Tribolium castaneum: one gene and its partner. The protein of the gene in region 1 binds, or shares a complex with, the protein of each later gene. Links are inferred from orthologs where the notes say so. Each region holds a gene or a part of one and is shown in the gene's direction. Other genes may lie near its edges.

The links.
Region 2: the proteins of Ciao1 (region 1) and galla-2 are in contact, whole or in part, in a crystal structure (PDB 6TBN), measured with the Drosophila melanogaster proteins. The link is inferred for Tribolium castaneum from reciprocal best matches to the Drosophila melanogaster genes Ciao1 and galla-2. Residues at the interface, in NP_610996.1 of Drosophila melanogaster: Arg16, Trp18, Arg60, Thr61, Arg63, Phe79, Glu105, Lys107, Arg123, Asp150, Lys152, Tyr168, Asn170, Ser195, Thr196, Trp198, Thr216, Ser248, Gly249, Gln250, His251, Ser252, Arg253, Tyr256, Gly272, Asp273, Asp274, Arg277, Glu299, Gln304; in NP_648416.1 of Drosophila melanogaster: Ser74, Pro106, Lys109, Thr111, Ala124, Lys127, Gln128, Asp131, Lys132, Glu133, Arg134, Ala136, Ala137, Glu140.

The regions. Positions count from the first base shown.
Region 1 is NC_087395.1:25,656,645-25,668,875, reverse strand, and holds Ciao1 (probable cytosolic iron-sulfur protein assembly protein Ciao1), read left to right. Parts: upstream 1-5,569; 5' UTR 5,570-5,715; coding exon 5,716-6,348; intron 6,349-6,394; coding exon 6,395-6,916; 3' UTR 6,917-6,930; downstream 6,931-12,231. Other genes in the region: uncharacterized protein LOC135265320, read right to left, coding at 1-852, 1,273-1,345; sugar transporter SWEET1, read left to right, coding at 2,088-2,257, 2,315-2,597, 2,646-2,765, 2,814-2,918; pkaap (A-kinase anchor protein 10, mitochondrial), read right to left, coding at 3,879-5,179, 5,223-5,306, 5,359-5,386; protein CNPPD1, read right to left, coding at 8,041-8,715, 8,924-9,052, 9,104-9,309, 9,360-9,459, 9,507-9,539; uncharacterized protein LOC660444, read left to right, coding at 10,062-10,386, 10,730-10,855, 11,177-11,218, 11,270-11,337, 11,553-11,849. UniProt on the Drosophila melanogaster protein: Essential component of the cytosolic iron-sulfur (Fe/S) protein assembly machinery. Required for the maturation of extramitochondrial Fe/S proteins.
Region 2 is NC_087394.1:1,668,815-1,682,041, reverse strand, and holds the start of galla-2 (MIP18 family protein galla-2), read left to right. Parts: upstream 1-4,722; 5' UTR 4,723-4,857; coding exon 4,858-4,875; intron 4,876-13,227. Other genes in the region: ltl (insulin-like growth factor-binding protein complex acid labile subunit), read right to left, coding at 4,180-4,493. UniProt on the Drosophila melanogaster protein: Component of the crb-galla-Xpd (CGX) complex which is essential for proper mitotic chromosome segregation in early embryos. The CGX complex is also required for cell proliferation in developing wing disks.

The DNA.
Region 1 (12,231 bases):
CATCGTCATGAATCTGTGCCTTATCTTTATTATCACAAACTATGACCAATTCCCCGACATCAACCTCATTATCCGATTCTTCTTCCTTGCTAACATTATCTTCACACAATTCAACATCCGAATCTTTGACTTCCTGAACTGAAGGTTCGTCGTTCACCACAATATACTCATCACAAAACTCGACCTCATCATCGGAATCATCCAATAACTTGAAAAATGCGACACTCGGCTCATCGTCTGGTATCTCAATCACATTATCCTCCAAATTCAGCCAATCAACCCCCAACCAATCCTTCAATTTGGGAGGGAAAACGTACCCATCGGGCAACCACTGCCCCCCTGCATTGGCCAACATGCCCGAAAACGGCAACAAATTCCCATACAACTCACACACAAACTTAAAAATACCCCTAGTAATCACAAAAATGCGCGCCGTAATTGCATAAACAATCGCCGCTATTTTCCAAAAATGACCCAAACGAAACCGCTGCAAGGTCAGCTCGGAAATCACCTTACAAGTGTCCAAAACGCGACACAACGTTTTACCCAAACCCTGGAGGCGAACTAGGAGGAAATCAATCATGTTTTTAGTCAGAAAAAATGTTTTTAACACTTTGTAATTTGGGGGGATCAAGTCGAGGACGTATTTGAGCGTCGTGGAGAATTGCATTTGGAGATAGGTGCGCAAGACACGACTTAGTTTTTCGACGGCTTTGAAGTCTTTAGAGGAACGAAATTTCATTTTGAGGCGGTAGACGGTGCGTGAGAGGAGCGCTGCCTCGGTGCAGAGGTGCTGCTGGTTGTCGAAAAAGGCCACAGCGTCGGTTAGCGTAATTTTTAAAAGGCGAATATCTGCAGAAATTAAAAAATTGGAAGTGACATAACCTCACTTTTACCATCGAATTTCGGGCCAAAATAACTTAAATTATTGTTTCAATAGGCCAAAAGCGAGTTACGATGTCGAGATAAAGCGTCCTTTATAAAATTCATAAAAAAATAAAGACAACCTCACTAACGTCTCGACAGTTTTTTTCGCAATAAAGCCCCGTTTTACGTAACTATAGCGTATAAATTTATCATAATTTGAAAAAACTAGCGTTTTTTCCCGACTGGTGCCGGAAAATTGCACAATTTTCGTAAAAATCACTCGATTGGTGTGACATAACCTCACAATATTTTTCTTCCCTTTGTATTAATTTTCCAAATAAATGTTTAAACGTGACTTGGTCCAAAACAACAATTTGGCGCTTTTCAATCAAAATGACCTCTTACCTATTTCTTTGGTGCTGATTTTGCAATTAATGATGGGTGGGGGCTTCAAATATTTTGCATTCCACAAATCCATGACTTCTTTTAAAACTGCAAACACCTACAATTGTGCGGAAAATTGCAAAATTGGCGAAAAAATTATTTTACCTTGACACTTTTATTAGAAAGTTAATTCACATTTTGTGAATAGAAACGTTATTTTGTGGGGTATGTACCAATAAGCACCATTTCTGTTGTTAGAAGTGTGATTTTTTTCCAATTATTGACGATATTTTAAGCACTTTTAGTCGGTCACAATTTTTTTGAAGTTAGGTTGACACATGTCAAAAGTGAGGTTAGGATGGGGTTGTGAGATAAGGGGACGAAGGTCACAGTCAAGGACATGACGAGAAGATCATTAATTCTTCATTATTGCGAGCGGCAATCTCAATTAAACGATTCCTGGATTGATTATTGCATCCAGTACTAAAAATTGTAATCACTACATTTTCAAAAGTGGATTTATTTGCTTGTCATCGTGTCAAGGCTTAACAGTAAATTGCGATTAGATAATAAAATATCTTATAACACTGCTGCGAATTCGTAAACGGCGAGTATTGTCTCCTTGTTGTTTAATTTGGAAGAAGGGGTTCAAATGAATTTGACCTCAATCAACCTCTAGTGCAGTGATAAATACCACACTTTTGTTGTATGTTAATCGTTCTATAACCATGGATAATTTTTTAATTCATAATTATTGTCAGTGTCACATTTCTAATCAGAATTTTTAATTCAGCGTTAATTTAAGTCGTAATTAGTTTCAGGTTGTTTAGTTCGCAATGGAGTCACTCTCGCAGACGCTACAGCCCCACAAAGACACCGTGGGGACGGTGGCCAGTTACCTCACAATTCTGCAATTTTTCTCGGGGGTTTTCATTTGTAGAGACATTTACAAAAAAGGCAACACTGACGGTGTGAATTCGATGCCGTTTGTGGGCGGTATCATGTTGTAAGTCACAATTATCTTTAGTAGAAGAAAAAAATAATAATTTTTAATTATTATAAGAGGGTTGGCAATGCTGAAATATGGTTTGATGCTTGGGGACGAAAACATGCTGCTAGTAAACTTATTCGCAATCGTCCTTAACGTAATTTACTGCATCGTCTATTATTTTTACTCGAATGACAAGTGGAAGCAAATCCTGAAGCCCCTCTCCATAAGCATGGCTTTTGTTGCGGTCTTGTGGGGCTATTGCGAGTATGAGAGCCCCTCAGTGGTCGAATTTCGCTACGGATTGATTGTCACAATACTGATGCTTGCCGTTTTGGGGAGCCCCCTTCTCGGAGTTGTACGTAATCAAAACAAAACATTTTAGCCCCCTAACTTTTAATCGCAGAAAGAAATCATCGAGAAAAAAGACGCCTCTGAAATCCCCTTCGTTCTAACATTAATGGCGACTTTGGTGACCTTCTCGTGGCTTTTGTACGCCATTATTTTAAAAAATGAATTCATGCTTGTGAGTTTGAACTAATTGTGGGAAAATTATTAATTTCTACGTTTCAAGGTTCAAAACGTGGCTGGGTTTGTGCTGTGTTTCGTCCAGTTAATTTTAATTTTTGCTTATCCAGGAGGCGGGAGACAAGTAAGCAAAAAAAAGAAGAAGCATTAAAAAAGGGCAAACAATTAAAGAATTAAGTATTGAATAATTCACATTCCAGGCAGCGGCGGCAGCGAGCTGAGTTTTCGCCAAATGTTATTTTCAACGCCTTAGTTGAATAAATCATTCAAATTAAATGGGTTTTTCATTTTGTGACCAAAATCAGCGGTCACGTGACCAAACTGAACAAATGTGATTGGTCCATTCGCGCTTTTTAACAACGAATTACATTTTAAGAAAGTTTTCTATAAACGGCCCTTTTAGAGATTTATTAACTTAACACACGTATTTTTGATACACCCTAAATAAACGGTTGAACGCACTTTTTAACCAAAATGTTTGTTGCGAGATGTTTGATTGGAGTAACTCCTGACTTACCTTACATTGAAAAAAGGTGTCGTGACTCTTGCGCAATTCGGGAAATTCGGTATTTGACCACATTTTTGCACCAAGCACTCGCACTAAGTTACACTATCCGATAAATCTTGCGGTAACAACGCTCGCATAGAAAGACACAACCCGCACTGACCTTATCATTTCGTAAGCGGCGACAAAAAAGGGTAGATATTTCAACGACAAATCGTCTTTTTTGCGAAGATTTTTTTGTCGAGATCACACAATTTTATCTCAGTGGCGTGCTGTAGAATTTTAACTAAATTTCAAATACGTTTAATTCATTATAAGACTGAAATGGAAATGTTTCAATCCAAGGAGTTACGCCTTTTAATATAAAAATAAAACCGCCAACTAGTTAAAATATTTTATTATATAAATATGTTTATACATTAAAGAAGTATTTACAAACAAATGCAATCATACAAAAATAATAAAATCCAATGACTAACCTACAGAGCCATCCGATCGCAGCGCTACCAACTCAATTCACGGGGGGAAACACAGCCTTTGAAAAAAAGTGGGAAGTTTCTATCACACGCCGCCGTACATACAACATTTTTGAGCTCTCTGACATTATCACAATGAAGATGATGGTTTTTCCTGATTTAGAGTAACATTTGTAATATCTTTGACGATCATTTCGGCCACTTGCCAGGCCATTTCTTCCTTCCTTTTATCCTCGTCGAGACTCACAAACTTCTTGACAACATTTTTAAACTTGAAACTTTTCCGATCAGGTTCTGGCTCCAAATCAGTTTCAAATTTACCCAAAGCTGTGATCCTCCCACAGGATAATCTGTGCGTTCGTCTCCTCTTCCAGAGCGAATCGGGGTCGCACAACTGCCTCGTGTCGATACTCATATCTGCGTTTTTATCCTTCTTTTTACAATTATTATTATTAAAGTTTAACTCTAACGCTAGAAATGCGCTATTTGTACTGAAACTCTTCTCGCTGCTGCAATCGGACGAAAGCGTCCGATTATTCTCGAGATTAAAATAATCGTTAGACTGAACGGTGTTTATCAACTCGGACAGATATTTGCAAAATAACTGTGACTCCAAAAACGGTTTGAGATAGTTTTTCTCCAACACTTGTTCGACGATTTTCAAGGGCAACTTGAAACAATCCAAGACAAGTCCGTTCTCCCCGCAAATATTTTGTTCGATTTCGAAGCGAACTTTATCGCCGAAACCCAACGGACAATGGGCTTGCAGCGAAAAATACTTATCGTAGAGCACAACAGCGTCATTTTGGGCCTCAATTGGGTCAAAAAACTCCTTTTGATTGGTCAAATGTTGCTGCAAGTTGGTGGCAGCGATCCAGAACTCCAACAAATTGCACGAATTCTCCTGTTCGAGAAACTCCATAAAGTAGAAAAGCGCCGTTTCGTTGTAGAGAATATCGTCAAGGGCCACTTGGCCACTCGTCAAAACATCGATCTGGTATTTGCAGAAATAATCGCTGGCTAAAAACGCCTCAAAATACTCCTTCTCCATGACTTCGGTAACGAAACTCTGAACGGGGTCCAAACAACTGGCGATTTTCTCCAAGTCACAAATGTTTTCAACGAGTTCGTTACGAACTGACTCGGGGCATTTAACATTGTGAGCGGACTCCTGAGCTATGTACTTTTTAAAAATCGCAACAGCGCCCTCAACTAGACTAGATTCACACGAATCACTCGAATTTTGGGTGTCACTGGAGTCGCAATCCGTACTTATCTCACACTTAAACGACTCAATGTCCCCCCAACAATTGATAAATTTGGCGGCGTTTCGCGCCTCCATAAACTGGGTAAAGTAGCCCAGAGCCCCCTTATCGCCCAAAACCTCGTCCAAGGTCCGACATAGCCGTGACCTCGTTGCCTCAAACTCATCTTTAAGACACAATAACCCCAATTTCTACAATTTCGTACTCACCGATATCGAGGTCCAGAGGGGGCGGCTTCGGGGGCCGGGGCCGCGGCGTCACCGCTGGGGCTGCGCATTTCGTGTCATTGCCGGCTTTGGAAACACTAATTAGGAAAACCCAAACATCAATTACGAAATTACGCACCTTTTGATTTCCTCCAAAACTGTAACATGGTTCATCGTAATGATGGGTTGTGGGGGCGGGGGCGAGTCCGATCAACCCAACAGTGCCAAGAGGCCCCAAAACACCCACAAAACCGATTGTTTTGATAAACAAAGTTGATTGTGATTCACGGCACAAAAAATGTAAACGTCAAATGAGGCTGGCCACACCGACGGCAAAAAAAAACAAAAATCGCACATTCAACCACGAAAAAAAAATTCAAAATTAAGCGAACAATTAATTTAGAAGAAACATAATTGATTTTGCACTTAAGTACGCAATTTTATTGGTAAATAATTGCAAAAAAACGCAATAATAATCATGCGTTGGCTGCATTGAATGACAGTGCGGCCAACTCAACGAAGCAAAAACGTAATAAAATCACCCATTTTTTCACGTTTTGTGGCATTGGTAAGCCCCTTAAGTACATTTGCCCCCTTTTGGCACGTCGTGCGTCCCCCGAGACCACTTTTTAACCACCCTGTCGTTGTTCGCGACCCTAACCCCAAAATGTCAAAGCTTGAGCCCCTTCAAACTTTATGCAAGCACACGGGGCGCGTTTGGGACGTGAGTTGGCACCCGAAGGGGCAAACGTTCGCCTCGTGTGGCGAAGACAAGACCATCCGAATCTGGTCGAAAGACTCGGACTCGAAGTGGTCGAATAAAGTAATTCTAACCGATGGCCACAAACGCACAATTCGGGAAATTGCGTGGTCCCCCTGTGGCAATTACCTCGCCTCGGCCTCCTTTGACACCACTACGTGCATTTGGGACAAGAAATCGGGCGAGTTCGAGTGCAATGCCACTCTTGAGGGGCACGAAAATGAGGTTAAGAGTGTTTCCTGGTCGAAGTCGGGGCGATTTTTGGCCACTTGTAGCCGTGACAAGTCGGTTTGGATTTGGGAGATTGCCGAGGAGGATGAGTATGATTGCGCGGCCGTGTTGAGTGCGCACACACAGGATGTGAAGAAAGTAGGTAGCAAGGGGGCGATTTTTGTTGTTATGGAGGTTGTTGCAGGTCGTGTGGCACCCACATGACGATATCCTCGCCTCGGCCTCCTACGACAACACGGTTAAGTTGTTCAAAGAGGACCAGTCAGACAACGACTGGGTTTGTTTTGCCACCTTACAGGGGCACGAGTCAACGGTTTGGAGCATAAGTTGGGACAAAACGGGGACAAGGATTGTGTCGTGTAGCGACGACGCCACGTTGAAAATCTGGCAAAAGGGCCAAAATACGGAGGAAACGTGGAAATGTGTGTGTACCATGTCGGGGTACCACAACAGAACCATCTATGACGTGTCTTGGAACCACTCAAGTGACTTGATCGCCACCGCTTGCGGTGACGACGCTATCAGAATTTTTAAAGAGGAGGAAGGGGGCGACTTAGAGGCCCCCACGTTTAGCCAAGTCACCTGCATTGAGAGGGCGCACGCCCAGGATGTCAACTGCGTCGCCTGGAACCCCCTTCTTAGTGATATTTTAGTGTCGTGCAGCGACGACGGGGAAATTAAATTGTGGAAATTTATCCCTGAATAAAATTGTTTGACGTTCCTTTGTTTTTCTTTGATGGATAGGCGGCTGTTTATGTCAATTGTTTACAATTGAACGTCACAGCCTACTGTCGCCCATCCATTGAGATTACTTTTTCGTTCCACAGATGTTAATAAGACGGTTGGCGGCCCTAAGTCGGATTAAAAATTACTACAGCACGGGCCCCCAAATGTCGGTCAAAGAAATCGTCAAAACTTTACAATCCTACGCCCCCTTGACCCTTGCCGAGAGCTGGGACAATGTGGGGCTCCTGGTGGACCCAATGACCGACAAACAGGTCAAAACAATTCTATTAACAAACGACCTCACTGAGGATGTGGTCAATGAAGCTAAAAACTTCCAAGCGGGGCTCATTATCTCCTATCACCCTAATATCTTTCAAGGCCTTAAAACAGTCTCTGACAAGTACGCCCCAAATTACACAGCCAATCAAAACTAATCGTTTTGTCACAGGACTTGGAAAGAACGAATCGTAATCCAATGTATTAGACATGAAATTGCGGTTTACTCGCCCCATACGAGCTGGGATTGTGTCGAAGGGGGCGTTAATGATTGGCTAGCCTCAGCGTTCGCTTTTAAAAACATTGCGCCAATCAAACCATTGGAAAATCCGAGACAAGGGGCGGGGCGCATCCTCACACTAGACACGCCCATAACTGTGGAAACCGCGGTCGCAAATGTCAAAAAACATGTCGGGGTGGGGCATCTGCGACTCGCATTGGCTAGGAACAAAGGTTTAGGTAAGCCACGCCCTTGAAATTGAGTGAAACGAAAGTGATTTTCAGATGCGAGGATTGAAACCGTGGGGCTGTGTGCCGGTTCGGGGGCTTCGGTTTTAAAGGGGCTCACGAGCGATTTGTACCTAACGGGGGAAATGTCCCACCATGAAGTCCTGGATGCTACGCAAAACGGGGTTCATGTGATTCTCTGCGAACATAGTAATTCCGAACGGGGCTTTTTGGGGCGTTTCCAGAAACAATTGAGTGATTTGTTGCAAAATTCAGTCAATATTATTGTTTCAAGTGTCGATAAAGACCCATTAATTGTAGTTTGAGTAGGCTGGTGAATAAACAATCGTGTCAAATGTTTGGTTTTATTGACCAATCAAATCAGGCTTTGAGATTTTGTAGGTAATGCAGGTACCTGTTATAAAACCCATCACCTATCGTATCCGTCCATTCTTCGTGCCACGACCTCTCCAACTGGTCTTGAATCCTAACTTTCGTCTCCTTATGCACTTGATCCTCCAAATCCAATTTCAAAAAATAATCCTTATAGAATCGTCTCAAGTCCAAAAAACCCAAAGTCGGAGCCTCAACTTCGACAAATTTCGACGTTTCGTAGAGCCATGTCATCGTGGGGGCACTCCACCAGTCCCAGGATACGTTTTGAGTCTCACTTTTGTTGCAAAACGGTGTCAGAAAACTCTCAATACTTGCGAGGAAAATTCCGACATGGAGGGGGCTCACACGGTTCGTTTCGTTGTAGAGGGGCTCCGAGGGCGGCGCTTCGATTTGCGGGCGAAGACAAGCCCCCGGAATGTGGCTAACAATCAAGACAGAGCCCAATAAAGTCAATAAGGCGGCCGTGTAAGCCGTAATGAGGATCACAGAAATGGTCAAAATGTTTTGGATGAGGTTTCGCAATTCGACGCTTGTTAAAAGACGCTCTAGTTCGGTGTAGGTGTAAAAGCCGCGTTTTCCACCCTGGTTGCGGGCCAAGGTCGTTTCGATTTCGGACAGTTTCTTCCAAAATGTCAGCTCAGTAACGAAGACTTCCCAGTCCTAAGGAAAAAAAAATTGGGATTCAATTTTTTTTAAACTCGTTCTAGCATAGTTTCATTGACCTTATGTTCGATTTTTTATTGTTTGATTTTTCCAATTTTTGTCGCGATTTATCGAGCAATAACTCCGTAACTATCAGAGATAACCCTAAGTATGATACTATTTTTTTACAATTTTTTTATTGTTTAAAACAGTCTTGAATACTTACAATAGCTTTGAGGAACTCCTTTTCTAGCTGAACCAACTGTTTGACGCTCATGCCCCCTGAAAGGGCCCATTCGTTCATAAAAACCTCATCTGCCTCACCGTCATCATAGAGAAATTTGCATGAAACCATCTAGAAACCACTTAATGTTTTTTCGCTAATTTATTGTGATTCAAATTTTACCAAAGAAACCAAAAACAAGTCAGACGAAGCCGTGCGTTCGAGATACTCAGGGCATGTCTTTTTCAAGCGTTCTAGATACAAAATCGCAATAACCAAAGAGCAAGGGGACACACAGGCATTTCTTGAAATATTCGCAGCATCGTCACAATGCAGCCTGTCCAAGGACCGGCCTTTCTGGGCTTCGGAGAACAGCTCTGCGGCTAATTCTAACAAAAACACGTTTTTTACTGACTTACAACACAACAAACACACCCACCTGTTACAGGCAGACTCAGCTCATCTGTCTTGGGGAATTTACCGTAATAGAGGGTCTTGGTGATCCGCGAAATGTACTTCTGGTGCTCCCCTATGTGTCTCTAAAGCCACAAACGCGTGATTTTTGCAAAAGGGGGCCAAGTCTCACCTTATCCTTTACCCGTTTCGGAAGCTTAGACATTGTCTTACCCACTTGGAACAGCCCCAAAACGTGTCGTATGATTCGCAATTGCGTATAATTAATCACAGATTTGCAATCAGTGTTTTTTTAATCATGGACCTTGGCAATGTCACCGGACATGCGCGTGGCCCCCTAACCTCAATTTTTTTCAAACTCTAAATAAACCAACCAAACTTGCAACTTCGCCCTTGGTGGCCATCACAGACCCAAGCACACAACTAATTTATAATCTAACCCCACAAAACCACGAAAAAGTGCCAAAAATAGCAAAATATAGGCCCAATTTCAAACTTGGCGCCGTTTCGTGACGTGACGTCAGCCCGCTAGACTCACTCACTCACAGGTGGAGTGGGATCATTCAGATGATTCCTGAGTGATTTAAATAATTTTCAAACAATTTCGAACTAAAACCGCGTTTGGGAGTGTGTGGGTGTTAGAGTCGTGCCATAGTTACAAAATGACACCCTCCGTGCGGGCCACAAGTTGATACTCCTCCCCCTAACTAAATAAATAGCCCCCACAATGGCAACAAAACTAGTGAGACACTTAGATTTAGCAAAAGTGATCAACAGGGGGGCGCACCGCATCACTTGGACGCCCCGAACTAAGCTAACGAATTTCGCTCCATGTAGATATGCACTGAAAACACAACATATCAAACTTAATTTTAGTACAAGCTGTAGATTGGGGGGCAGTGGCGGGCACGCTGAGACCACAAGCACCACTCAGGGCTTGTCTAAGTTACAAGCGCAGGAACTGGTCTTGAGACTGAACGGTGAGGAGAGAAATATCCTGATTTCGGCGCTCCAGGAGTACCAATCAAAACTAGTCAAAGACGAGTACGAAGGTAAAGAACAGGTATTTGTGTTTTTCTGTTCATTTGTAGCATTTTCGTTGCTGTTTTTGCTTAATTTCGATTATTAAACTACGATTTGTGTTAGACGTAGGCAACCCAAAAAACACACGTGTGACTAGGTTTGCCTAGTCACTGGCAAATTTTTAAACAATTAGGATTTGCGAGGTTTTTATCAGTATGTGACACTTAAAAAAGTGATAATCTCTTATTGTATTGTATGGTTAATTGAAATGACTGATAAAAAACAGGGTCAGACGTCTGAGGCTCTTTTTGCAACGATTAAGTCCTTGGATTATTTTCGCTACTTTTTTATTTTTAAATGTCCAAACTTAAGGTCAACTAGCAGCTTCACGATGGAGAAGTAAGTTTGGACGTCCGAGCAAATTGCCAAGGCTGGGAGATGTAGATCCCACGGGATCTTATTGTCCTGTTCCCGAAGACTGGTTAAAGAAGAAGTTTGGTACGAAAACAATAAAATTCCGCTCTTTTGTAGGAGCTTTGCATGAATAACTAACTGAATTATTTAAGCCAGTATTTGAGGGCCGTTTGAATTATTAATAGGGTAATTAATTACTAACGTTCCGTAGTCGCTTATTAAAGGGAGTTACATTTTTTTCTCGTAATACATGAATTTTTATGGTTTTTATCGAACGCTTTTGGGTTGTAAAATGAATGTTTTCGATTTTTTTCGCATGGCTTTGCATGTTACGAAGTGGCGAGTGAGTGAAGTGTGTCAAGGTCGTTGATTTTACCCCAATTTTGATTTATTGAACGATTTTAGCCGAATCCGTTCCTCGACCAACCAGCAGGAACCTGGTCGACAGTAAGTATCAAGTGGGCTAAAATTGGCGCCAAATTACAAAATCTATTTCAGTCGCCATAGCCAACTCGATCCCGTTCATCGGTTTCGGCTTCTTAGACAACTTCTTCATGTTGCTATTTGTAAGCACCACTTTCTCTTGTTTTCTCTCGTACAATGTCCTTTTCATTAGACAATAAGTACTAAATATCACTTGTTTTATATTAATTGAAGGAATGTCACGAAATGGCACCTTTGGCACTTCTCAATTTAGATAAAACCACCAACTTGATAACTTTTAGTACTTAAAAATGTGCCAGTTTTCTCTGTTGTAGTTTTTTTTTTATTTGTTTTTTAGGGTGATTATATTGACCTGTACTTGGGGTCGTACTTCTGCATGACTACGATGGCGGCTGCCGCCCTTGGTAACACGCTTTCGGATGTTTTGGGCATCGGCACGGCCTTCTACGTCGAACGACTCGCAAATAAGATAGGTTTTCGGCCACCGAAATTATCGCCAATTCAGATGGATATGACTTGTTCGCGAAATGCGGCGAATTTCGGACGTGTTTTGGGGGTCACCCTGGGGTGCATCCTCGGAATGTGCCCTCTGGTGTTCCGCAAAGCGAAAGACGAGGACGAAAAAGATGATTAATTGTATATACATGTGTAATTTCGTGCAATAAAAACCGTTAGATGTCCTCAATGTTACTTTACTTGCATTTATTTTTTGTATATAAGATGTGTATATAGATGTAATAAAAGACCAAAAAAATTCGCTGTTAGAGACGCTTTTATACTTGACTAAAATTCGTCCAAAAGTCACACAATCTTGTCTATTTTTCAATGCCCGTGACTTTATATACTTAATAATTTATTATACCCTCTTATAGTCTCTAATGAAGTGTTTAATAAATAGACTGTTAGAACGTAATTTCTTTTTTGTCCCTTTTCCCATCCTCGGAGCGACGTCTGTGGAAAAATCCACAATAAACAAATGGGTTGTCACGGTAATAGGTGATGTAACCATGGTAACG
Region 2 (13,227 bases), on another chromosome or scaffold:
TTTTTTAATCTATAGTAGACAATGTAATAAATGGACGAGTAGTCATTACAATATACAGGGTGCTCAAAAAATGGCGCACCAACTCAGTGGTACGTTGTTGAGAAGCATGTGTAGATCACGGGAAAAATCTTGAAAAAATTCCTAAAGTCATATTTAAAAAAATCTGGAGCTACAAACTTATTTTGTTAACTTCTTCAGTTTTCATTATTTTTTAATGTTTCTATGTTTCACACTAAGTAATCGTTCCCTAACACAACGATGAATAACTATTTTTAAATTTCCCATAAGACTTTAGCAGTTTTTTTAATTTAAAAAATTAAAATTCATCAAAAAAATCACAGTTTGTAGATGTGCCAACGCTGGGAGTTATTTCCTAGGAAACCGTTTCAAAAATAATTTATTTTTATTGATGATCAAATTTTATTGCGATCATGACTGTTAGACAATGTTGCCACATATCATTTACCTAAAATTAGTTATTTATGAATAACTGTAATACAAAGAATTTTTTTACTATTTTTACCTTTATATGTAAGCAATTCTTTACCACACTCCATTGAGTTGGTGCGCCATTTTTTGAGCACCCTGTATAAACAATACAATACAATATATAAAAGAAATAGCAATAAAAAAAACTGAAACAATCATAACAATTATTCAAAACATTATAAATTACGAAGAAAAATATTCATAAATTGTCAAAACAATTGTCATTGTCAAAACTCTTTAAAAAAAAATTAAAATTCAGGTCAATATATTTTTAAAGCTTTAGTGAAATTAAGTTTGAAATGAATTTGTTGTTCGTGATAGTCGCAATAATTTGTCACGTGTTTCGAAATCGGTAAACAGTTCTATACCAAAGGTTTGCAGCATGATTATGAGTTTTCTCAACCTTTTATCGAGCAATAAAAAGCGGTTGTAATAAAAATCAAAGTTCGATCTGTAATAAATTATATAAAGCCAGAAAATTGTTAAAAGCCAGTGCACGTATTTTTTGTGTTCGTCTCGTTGCTATTGCGAGCACGTCCGTTTAAAAATTTATCTGATCAAATGGTCTAATAGCCGATGGCGCCAACATCTCTGGAAATATACTCATCTGTTTCAACCGTCCCATTATAGTACACACAATGGTCAATCTGAACGCCCGAATTAACATGTTTACATCGAGTTTTTGCCACATTTCCAATTTGATTTACTCCACAATTTCCACAATCATTGTCAGTTTGTTATTCGTTATCAAGCCAATAACAGGTGCTTGCAGCTCCAAATTGATTCGACATTTGCCTATTAACCCATTTAACCTTTTATTTGCATTGATGCGATCAAAGATTTATAAATCGGAATACGTCAATTGTTCATAAATAACAAATCAGAGAACAAAATGCAAAATTCCACCAAACTTTAACTGATCGAAATTGTTGCCAACACTTGACGAAATATCAATCAAAAATTAGGTCAAATCATTTAAATCTGGATCACTTTTCCTATTAGCTGGACCAGCCTAAGGTCAATTTTAGCAGTGTTGTGTCCAAATAAAAAAATAACTGCTTAGAAAAATGTTATAATTCTATTTTCCGTGGTCATAAAATTATTCTCTTTTATCACTTAGAACATCTGAAACAGTCAAAGGTAACGATTTTCGGAGTTTAATTCAGATTAGTGTTTAAAAATATATAACATAAATAAAAAATTAGACACAAGTGACACCAAAATTTGTGATTTCTTAAAATATGATTACATAAGGTCCAAACAAAACTAAAAAAATTTTTTTAACTTAATTAGGGTTGTCCAAATTTAAAAAAATTGTCAAAAGTTTTTAATTTTGACAAAAAAATGTAAAGAGCGTACAAATTTAAAAAAAACGAATATGGTTAGAAACAAAAAAACGAAAAAAAATAAAGAGGCCAATAATAAATTATGTGGACTATTTTAGGGCCATCCATATTTTTAAAAAAATATCAAAGTATGATCTGACTTTTTAAGGCAAATTTTGAAAAAAAAAAGATAAAAGTACGAAGATGTTGAAGAAAATAATTCCACTACGTGAAGGAATGTCAAAAATTAATTATATGACATTGTTCCAGGGCTGTCCAGATGTATCATTTGACATTTTCAGAACTTTTCTTATAAAACACTCCAAATTAAAATTAATGTTTCCTAAAATTAGTCAAAGAAAATAATAATTAGTTACATAAAAGATAAGTAATTATTAATAAATGAGTTTTTGAATAAAGTCCAAATATTTTTTGAAACATCTTTTTTGGCAGAAATAGACAGTTAGACAATTGTTATTACGTAAGATGGTTTTAAGATTCTCCCAATAAAGAAAATAATTGTTCGAGTATTTTATGGCTGTAAAATCATGTCAAATTAATTAAAATTTAATGCTAAATTAGGGTTTTAAAATAGGTACAAATGTTAGTTACAAAATGTTATTTATACTTATTATTACTTAATATAAATATATAGACGAAAAAAGTTTCTATGATTTGTTATTTCAAAGATATTATAAAAACATTCCAAATAAAAGAAAAGTAACAGTAAATAGTTATTATTGCCAAGGTTCTCGAAATTTGTTAAAGAAAACATTAAATTAAAGACTTACAAAATCACAAAAAAGTGAGATTTTTTGAGGAAGTTCAAATGTATGTAATTTTTTGGGGTAAATATATAAAAATAATAATTATGTAGAATATTTAAGGGTTGTCCAAAAAAAAAGATTATTCCATTATCTTAAGGCTGTCCAAAATTGTAAAAAACGTGAATTTTTTAAGGGAGTTCAAATAAAAAATTTAGTTAAACATTTTTTTGCCGTAGAAAATATAAAAACGGGACAAATTGTTTAAAATCAACAATAATTATGTAGAATATTTAAAGGTTGCCCAAAAAAAAAGATTATTCCATTATCTTAAGGCTGTCCAAAATTGTAAAAAAATGTGAATTTTTTTAAGGGAGTTCAAATAAAAAAATTAAGTTAAACATTTTTTGCCGTAGAAATATAATAACGGAACAAATTGTTTAAATATCAACAATAATTATGTAGAATATTTAAGGGTTGTCCAAAAAAAGATTATTCCATTATCTTAAGGCTGTCCAAAATTGTAAAAAACGTCAATTTTTTTAAGGGACTTCAAATAAAAAATTTAAATTAAACATTTTTTTGCAGTAGAAATATAAAAACGGGACAAATTATCAACAACATTTAAGGGTTGTCCAAAAAAAAGATTATCTTAAGGCTGTCCAAAATTGAAAAATATCAAATTAATTAAATTTAATATTTTAAATTCTGAGAAGACTAAGGTTTAGCAAATTCGTAACAAAATCTCAAATTATAAGTATATTGAACATTTTCAACATCAAAAACGTGTATGTTTTAATTTATAATATTTCAAATGAAAAGAAAATTATTGTTAGGTTTGTCAATATCAAATTAATGTTTTAAAGAACATAACATTGATTTGTTAGTTCAAACGTCAAAAATAAATTATATAATATATTCTTTTTATTAGGGTTGTCCAAATTAAAAAAATATAGTAATATCAAAAATAAAATATGAGCTCAGAATAAATTATGCACACGCAATAAGTGTCAAAAAGTCAGTAGCAAATTGTACCCAACTGTACTAGAGCTGTCTAAAATTTAAAAATATGTCAATAGTACACAACACAATCATATATGAAAACAGATTTATCTAGGGCTTTTCAAACTTTAAAACAGCAAAATTATCCATTTTTTAATATTGGAAAGTGAAAAAATAAATGAAAAAAGCTTGACTAAGTGCCAAATTGCTTAATAAGGGTTGTCCAAATTTGTATAAACGTCCGAATTCCGAGTAAATCCAAAAGGAAAAGTGCAATTATGGTCAATTTAGTGAAAACGTGTGCCGATTTAAGTCCGCAAAGTCGCTTCAGAGAAGCAATCATCAAATCAATTACCGTTTGTTATTTCTTGCGAATGTCTTTATCAGCAGCGCTTCCAAAAACCGCGTCGATGTCAGAGATTTCATTCATTAAAGCGACGATATCGTGCCATTAGCGAGTAATTCCGGGAAAATGAATTTACCAGCGATAATAATCGAGCAGGCGACGCTGTAATTGAAACATGAGAAGGTCGGAGGTTATCTGTTTGTTTCGCCTGTCATTTGTCATCCTCATCACTACGTCAATTTATCACCCTTACCCCAGTCCGTCGTGGTTGAGCTTGAGGTTCTCGATGGAGATGTTGAGCTCGTTGAAGGCCCTGAAGGGCAGGTCGTCCAGCTTGCTGAAGGAGATCTTGAGCGAGACGCGGTCCTCGGGCGCGAAGTGGCCCTTGAGGAGGCGCACCACCTGGTCGTAGGAGGTCATCTTGTCGCAGTGGATGGTGGTGAGCTTGGTGGAGTCCATGCGGCAGGTGCAGGGCGCGATCTCCTTCCACATGGGGCAGTGGGGGATGCCCACGGAGAGGCCCAGGATGGAGAGCAGCAGGGCCGACATGGTGAAGGCGGTTGTCATCGGAGGAGGCCCTTGGTGTTGGCTTTGAGCCGGTCAATGTGTGACTGAGTGACGGTGGCGCCTAAATTTTCTTGAGTGGAGCGCGGCGCCACTGCCCGCCATATCTCTAGCGGTGTCCCCGGGGTACAACGTGTGTGCAACTCCACCAAGATAATTAGATGCATTCGGCCAGAACGAGATTTATTATTGCGAGGAGGACGTGGCGCCCGACGAACGACTGCACTTCCTCATTTAGATTGGCGCCGAAGCCGCAGGCCCTTCTTACCTTACCTTCACACACTTACCCAACAAACCCTTGGACGCGCAAACGCTCACTACCTAGTGCTCAGTGGTAAGTGGGTTTTTTTGTGTCAGGATTTTTTCGATGCCGACTGATGGAAACGTAAGTATTAAGTTTTATTTTCCTTAGAAAAATACAGGTGACCAAAAAATTACCAACACAGGCTGTCCCATGTAAATGTAAGAAAATTTATTTTTTTTCATTAATCCAAAATTATTTTCAAGTAGGCATACAAGATGTTTTTGAGATTTGCTACAATTCAAACTTACGAGTATGTTTTTTTTTAATGGAATTGCATTTATGGGTGTAGCTTTTAATATTGATGTTTCTAAACTAATTAAAGTCACTTTGTGCTTTATCACCATCCGAGAGATTTTTTGAATCTACCTGCATGTATATAGTATATACAGCGTGCTCCAAAACTGGCGCACCAACTCAATGGTGTGTGGTAGAGAAGTGGTTACATATAATGGTAAAAATAGTAAAAAAACTATTTGTATTAAAGTTATTGATAAATAACGAATTTTAAATAAGTGATATGTGGCAACGTTGCCCAACAGTCGTGATCGTAATAGAATTTGAGCAACAATAAAAATAAATTATTTTTGAAACGGTTTCCTAGGAAATAATTCCCAGTGTTGGCACATCTACACATTGTGATTTTTTGGATGAATTTTAAATTAAAAAAACTGCTAAAATCTGATAGTAAATTTTAAAATAATTATTCATCGTTTTGTTACGGAACGATTACCTGGTATGAAACATAAAAATATAAAAAAACAATGAAAACTAAAGAAGTTAACACAATAAGTTTGTAGCTCCAGATTTTTTAAAATATAACTTTGGGAATTTTTTCAACATTTTTCCCGTAATATGGACTTGCTTCTCAATAACGTACCACTGAGTTGGTGCGCCAGTTTTTGAGCACCCTGTAGCCTGTACAGGATGTTCCAAGTTTTATGGCCAAAAATAAATATAAACAATAGCGAATTAATTATGCTACCTTTTGATACTTTAATATTGTTTAGTTCAAAGTTTTAAGGTATTGTTGTCATTATTAAAACCCAATTTTCTGAAAAATTGTTTTTAAGTTATTGGTGTTTTTTTTAATTTGGCAACATTTAGTAATGTTACATGGTAATACTTTTGGTTAATATTTTTTTAAATGTATAAAAATAGGTGTACTTGTACGGCGTTGCCATTTTTTGTTTTTAATTTCAGCCAAATGAAAGGTTTTGTGATTTTTTTATCGAAAATAGTGTTCTGTATAGCTCCATCTAGCTGCTCTTAAGAGCCTATCCACGACTTTTGACCCACCCGATATAATCAGTTAATCGCAGAATTAAGATCTTTGAAATTAAATATTTCTATTTCTATTTCTATTTCTATTTCTATTTCTATTTCTATTTCTATTTCTATTTCTATTTCTATTTCTATTTCTATTTCTATTTCTATTTCTATTTCTATTTCTATTTCTATTTCTATTTCTATTTCTATTTCTATTTCTATTTCTATTTCTATTTCTATTTCTATTTCTATTTCTATTTCTATTTCTATTTCTATTTCTATTTCTATTTCTATTTCTATTTCTATTTCTATTTCTATTTCTATTTCTATTTCTATTTCTATTTCTATTTCTATTTCTATTTCTATTTCTATTTCTGTTTCTGTTTCTGTTTCTGTTTCTTTTTCTTTTTCATACTTAATTATTTTTTTTACATGTGAATTTTTGTAGAATTTTTCTACGATTAATATTAATTCGCTTCATAAAATTATAATTCTAAAACGAACAATGAACGATGAATGTTGTTTAGTGCATAAAAAAAATGACACTAGTTCCAAAAGATAATTAATCAATTCAAAAAACCCAACGTAGTGAGCCGAATTATTATTAAATAGTAATATGAATTTTTATTATATTTTTTTTCTAAACGTGCAAAAATATAATATAAAAAACAACACATTTAGCTAGGACTAGGTCATATCAGAAAACATTACATTATTGTGAATATTTTTTATTATAAAAATTAACACTAACAAATCATAATTTGTTAAACCATTTTCTATTTAATCAAGTCATCCTGACATTATTGCCTAAGCATATAAAGTACATACTTTTGCTGTTTAATAAATAAAATAAGCTGAGTTCCGTCATAAATAAAATCATACGACGTATCATCTATATCAATAATTTAGATTAAGCAATATATTTTAATAATATTTAATTTAGGAATGGTCGAAAAATTCTGAAAACATTCACAATTTTTAGTATTATAGTTTCCGAGAAAAACGCAAAAATTATGACATTTTTTTCACTTTTCAAACGCTGATTACGGCGAAACTAAAAGGTCTAGGAGCGTCTTATTCCACCTTCTCATCTTCCATTATAAGTTGTCTAAAAAAATAAAAATACAAAATAAAAAAATATGTAAAGATTTTTGACCTAATTTGTACATTTCTGGATTTTGTGAGGGAATCTTGCAAAACAATCAGTTTTTGTTCAAATAATCTAAAAAAAAAATTTTATTCGAATAAATTTTGCGAAATGTTTCTCTGTTTCTCACAATTATTTTTGAATAAATTTCACTTCAAGCGAAATTAATCGAAAAAATTTTGCCATTTTTGGTCTATTTTAATGACTTTAAGGCTTCTTTTTAAGAGTATTTTGTGAAATAATAAGGTTTCTGACTGGAATGTGCGTTAAAACAATTGAAAAAAACAAGTGCTAGACTAAATGTGCTCTTTTTTTATCATCTCTAGCGAAATCTCAAGACAAGTTTAAAAACACATTTGTTTTAACTTTTTGTGTAATGAATTTCTTATCCAAAAACGAATCGGGCAAAATAATCGTAGAAATTAAATTTATTTCGATCCGATTTTGTGATTTTTTTGCTTTATTTTTTATGCAATTTCGCACAAAAATGAAGTAAGGGGAGTAAAATAACACCTTATTTTTTAATAATGTTTAATTAATTTAATTAATTATTTATAAGTAAATAAATGATTCTTTCATTTAAAAAAATCAAAAGTTTGAATATTTGTTAAATGAATTTTGAGTTTGTGTCAGCACCTGTTGACTCTAGATAAAGCCCAGCTTGTCCACCTCATTCATTGTTTACGTTTCAGTTATCAATTGAAAATTTAGATCAGTCCTCAGACTTGTGTCTCCTTTATGCCATCTAAATATTGTTATCGGTGTCGTGTTTCCACAACAAATCGATCAAATTATCGCTCATAAAATGTAAAGCGTGCTGTAAATTGTGTAAATACATCGCTTCTGGATCAAGGAATACAAAAACATCAACCCATAAATCGAGTTAAATATACATATTTTACACACGAACGTCCGAAACTCTTATACATTCTCATTGCGGCGCTAAATTATTAGGAATTTTCGACGTCGCTGAACGTAAACACAGGAGTAAATCAATGATAATCACGTTGGAATTCTACTTATTCACAAAATAAATTTTATGACTCGGCGAGATTTTATTTATTAATAGATAGAACGGACGCTTCATCCGCCTTCTCTTTGACACATTTAAAAAAAACGACACACTAAACCCTTGCGATTTATTGCACTCAGTTTATTTTTAGCTGCATTGTGGCGCATCCACCATTTTTCACAGACCTGAGACACGTTGATACAATTGGCATTTAGTAACGAAAAAGTTGAGGCAAAAAATCGTAACGTTTGTTCTTTGTTGATAAAAGTTTAAAATTTTGCAATGATATCTTATTAGACTATGACCCAATTTTAGTCTGTTTGTTTGATAGCAAATGTTTAATTTATTTCACGTTGCTAGATCTAGTTAAAATAATCTGAATTTTTCCAAATGTTTCGAGTGAAAATTCCAAAACACAGTAAACAATTTCAGATACAATAAAAATACATTAAACAGAGCCAAAATTACGACCGAAATTCTAATGAACTGCCTAAATAATGTTTAAAATAATCAAATTTTTAGCAAAGTTTTAAGGACTTTAGTATGGCTTTAGAATCTTCTAGATTTCTTAAAAACGTCGATTTTTTGGAAAAAATAGCTAAAATTTATATGTATTGATAACTTAAAAGTCATTATGAACGTTGCAATTTGCTCGACGTCAGTCGATTCCCCGGATCATTTTACGTGGATTTAACTCAAAGTAGTTTAATTTTTTTTAATAATTTTGCCGTAATTGAGAAAATAAAAAAAATAAATTTACACGTTACGTCTAATTAAAGGTAAAATGTTTCAAAGTCGATTGCTACTCTATTTACAAAAAAAAACAAAAAACTGGGTGTTCTATTTAACTTTTTCAACTTATTCAACTTTTAACAAACTTCTCATTTTTTATATTCTCAGGCTTTCAGTCTTTCAATCTCGTAGTTTCCTAGTTTTCAAGCTTATTCTCAGCTTTTTATTTCTTAATTTTCCATATTTTATATGAATTTTTCAAACTTTTTCAAGATGGTGACACTTTCAGTTATACCGGAAGTCGCTATCAACTTTCTTATTTTAAATGGAAAACTTTATTTTTTGATACGTTTTTAGATTACTAGAGTTATTTTAAGGTAGTTTTTATAAGCATTTTGATACCTAAATTTAGTTGTTTACGAAATATTTAGGGTTTTTTTTTGGAATTTGCACCTTCGAGTTCAAAAATTGATAACTCTGCTATTTTTAAAAATCTGGAAATATTTTTTAACTTATTTGAAAGAGGAAGCCTAGATCTTTCCTTTGGTGTTTTCAAATTTCTAAAAAAAAAATACCAAACCCCGAATATTTAAAGTTAAATTTTCAGAACTTTAAACACCCATAACTCAATTTTTTCAAATCTAAAGCCACAAGGTTTATTTCAATAAATCGTAGACAATTTAATTCTGCATCGATCTGTATGAGCATTTCTTTTGTTTAACAGTTTTCAAGTTACAATAACTTTTTGTGAGGATTGAGAAATTTATCAGCTCTTTTTTCAAAAACTGATGAAAACAAGAAAAAAATATTAAGTTTTTTAAACCAATATTTAAATTTATTTTGTTTTCACGGGACGAACAACAGAATTCGACGTTTGTTTAATCAGAAATGTTTTTACGGCAAAATATGCATAAATCACTGTGGTTAGTATGAAATTGTCTACAATTTCAAAAAAAACAACATAACTTGAAAATTATCACAGATGGGTATAGGGAATGCTAATACAGATCGATCCAGAAAAAAATTCTCCTCAATCTAGTAAAATAAAAATTAGAACATCCCATTTGAAAAACTTAAGTTATGGGTACTTGAAGTTGTCCAAATTTAACCTTAAAATTTTTGGGTTTGTTAATTTCTTTTCCAATTTTGAACACACTGGAGAACAAATATAGGCTTTCATTTTTTAATTCTCCAAATATGATTTAGAAATCTCTAAAACTAAGAGAGTTACCGATTTTTTACGTATCAGGTGCAAATCCAAAAATTTTCAAAAAATCTTAAATATCTCGGAAACGGTTAAACCTAGGTCTAGGGAAAGCTGATAAAAACGGCCTTAAAATAACTCAACTAATCCAAAAACGTAGTGAAAAACATAGCTTTCCATTTAAAATAAGAAAGGTGATTGCGACTTCCGGTATAGCCGGAAGTGCCGCCATCTTAAAAATATTTTTATTGAGCAGAACTTAACGGATTATGGCTGGGTACCAACTTTCAGATAAATATCTTTATTAGAACCTTCTATACTTTTAATGTTGGTTTAGACGGAACAGCCTGTGGTTTTTTAAAGCATTATTTTAAAAAAATGACTTACTTTTTCACTCTTAAATTTTAGTAAATAATAACAAAACTAGAAACAGTACTTCAGGAGTTGTGGAAAAATTAGTTAGTGGCAAATTATACAAAAAAAATTGTTAATTGAATGAAAAATTTTTAATAAATTGATAATACAGAAATGCCTGATTTTAGTACTAATACCTGTATATATATATATATATATATATATATATATATATATATATATATATATATATATATATATATATATATTTCGATTTTTCGATTCAGTGATTTATTTTCTAGGTTAAGATGAAAAATATTAATTCTTACGGAAAAGTGAATTAATTTTACAACAAAGTAGTTAATTAACTTTACTGATTTTTTGTGTAACAGACAATTTTAAGTTTTTGACAAAACGTAGTTCGTAGTTGGTGAAATTTATTGCAATAAAAATGATGTTTTTATTTTTCCTGTTTTTGTAAAAAGATCGTTCATTAATATTGACATTTTTTTATTATCATTTGTAATAATTTTGATGAATTTCCTCTGTGCAAAAAAGCTTGTGACCTAGGTCAGTGGCACTCTCGGGCGTATAATCCTCCGAACCGGTCCCAAATATGCATAAGTGTCGTGCAAATTAATTCCACCACTTCATAAATAATCACCTCACTCGTTCGAAATTCCGAAAATTCCAGCCATCGGTTAAAAATAATCATTCGTTACCAAATTTATAAATGCGTTGGTGGCGCCGCCTGGTGACGTACGCGACCCCCTTAAGAAAATCGTTCGCTAATCGCAGACGTCACGTATTAATTATTAACAAATTGCTCAATAAACCGGCTCGATCTGAATTATTTTACGACAATTTTATTGCCACTTTTTCAATTATCTGCGTTTATCAATCATGTTGGATGCCATCAGACCCATAAAATCAGCGCTACTGGCACCAAAAAACCCCTAAAATCTTATTTATGATATTCGGATGGGGTCAGAGGGTATCGATAGGGGGTTTCGGTTGGCGCCTCTGTGACCAAAAAAAGACACACGACTTAGATGCGGACGATTGATTGATTGCTTCGATTTTATAATCTAGATAACAGGCATCTGAGAGACGTCAAGAACCCTGATTTAGGTATAACAGCATTCTTATGACACAATCTGACGCCGGCGCCTGAATATTTCTACACACTTTTATTTTTATTTACATATTGATATATTAATTGCCCGATGCTGGGGACGGCTATAAACAACACATGAAAAAAAACACTATTTAGAGAGCTTGCGGAATGTTGTTGACACGTTGGGTTTTATTATACAAGACCTGAAACTCTTTTTTCACAACGCAAAATAAATGAGATAATTTGCTGCAACTATTGACCTGGAAATAATTGAAAAATTATTATTTTTTTACTAACTTCGGACTACGGAGGACTATAAGTTAGGATACAAACTTGCAACATTTTCTGAACACAAAACAAATCGGCAAGACTGTATTTCTTTTGTCAACGGTTTAGGCCCCAAAAACATTCAAAAATTTGAATTTTTGAAAAATTTTAAATTTATACCTAAATTATAGAAGATGGAAATGTGGTGTCACAGACTTTTTTGTAGGAAATTTAATTCTCTACAACTTTGTTCCTTACACTTTTTTTGTATCTCTAACCGTATTCCCAGCGTTTTGATAAATATGCGACGGTGCGCAAAAAGTTATCACTTAGAATTATCAATTTGCGTTCCATCTTACATTTTTGCGAACGCTGTAATTACGGCTGAAGATACAAAAAAATTGTGAGAATCAAAGTTGTAGAGAATTAAATTTTCTACAAAAAAGTCCGCGACACCATATTTCTATCTTCAACGGTTTGGGTATAAAATCACTTGACCACTGGAAAAATGAAGCAAATCCGTCGCTTGAGCGTCTTTGAATGACTTTGGGGCCTAAACGGTTGAAGATAAAAATATGGTCTCGCGGACTTTTTTGTAGGAAATTTAATTCTCTACAACTTTCTTCCTAACATTTTTCTTGCATCTGTAACCGTATTCGCAGCGTTTTGGAAAATATGAGACAGTGTGCAAGTTAGTAAAAGTTTGAATTTTTTTTAAATATAGTTTACGATAATGTTTTTGCATTATGTTTATGTCTTACTATTGGGAATTTAATGCCTTAATATTGGGAATTTAATGCTCTATCTGTCTGTATTTTTTTTTGTATGCTATATGTTAACCGTTATGCAAATACAACCATTAAAAAAAACTTAGACGGTATTGGAACAACTGTGCTCTCTGGCGACATTAAACGAAACTACCGAGAACGGGAGCATTTTATTTGTACGTCGTTTCATATCCTAACCTTTAGATATAATTTTTTTTATTTTGATCTCAGTGAGCTAAAAAAAACATGTCCTTTGAGTTTGAACTGTCTTCTTTGATGTGGTGAAAGTCCCACTTTTTTAGGATTAAGCCTTTATGTCATATTAAAAAAAAACTTGTTTATCTCAAAAACACAATTGAGCAAAAACAATTTATTGTTAAAGGTTACACCCAAATATACAAAAAATATATAGTTAATAATTTTAATTAATAATTATTAATAATTTTAGGTGAGTCAGAGGGGGTTAATATCTACAGTTTTTTGTAAAAAAACAGATAATTTTCTAACATTTAAAGGTCAATAATAATGGACTTTATCAAATCGCTGGGACACCCTGTATCTCTTTTA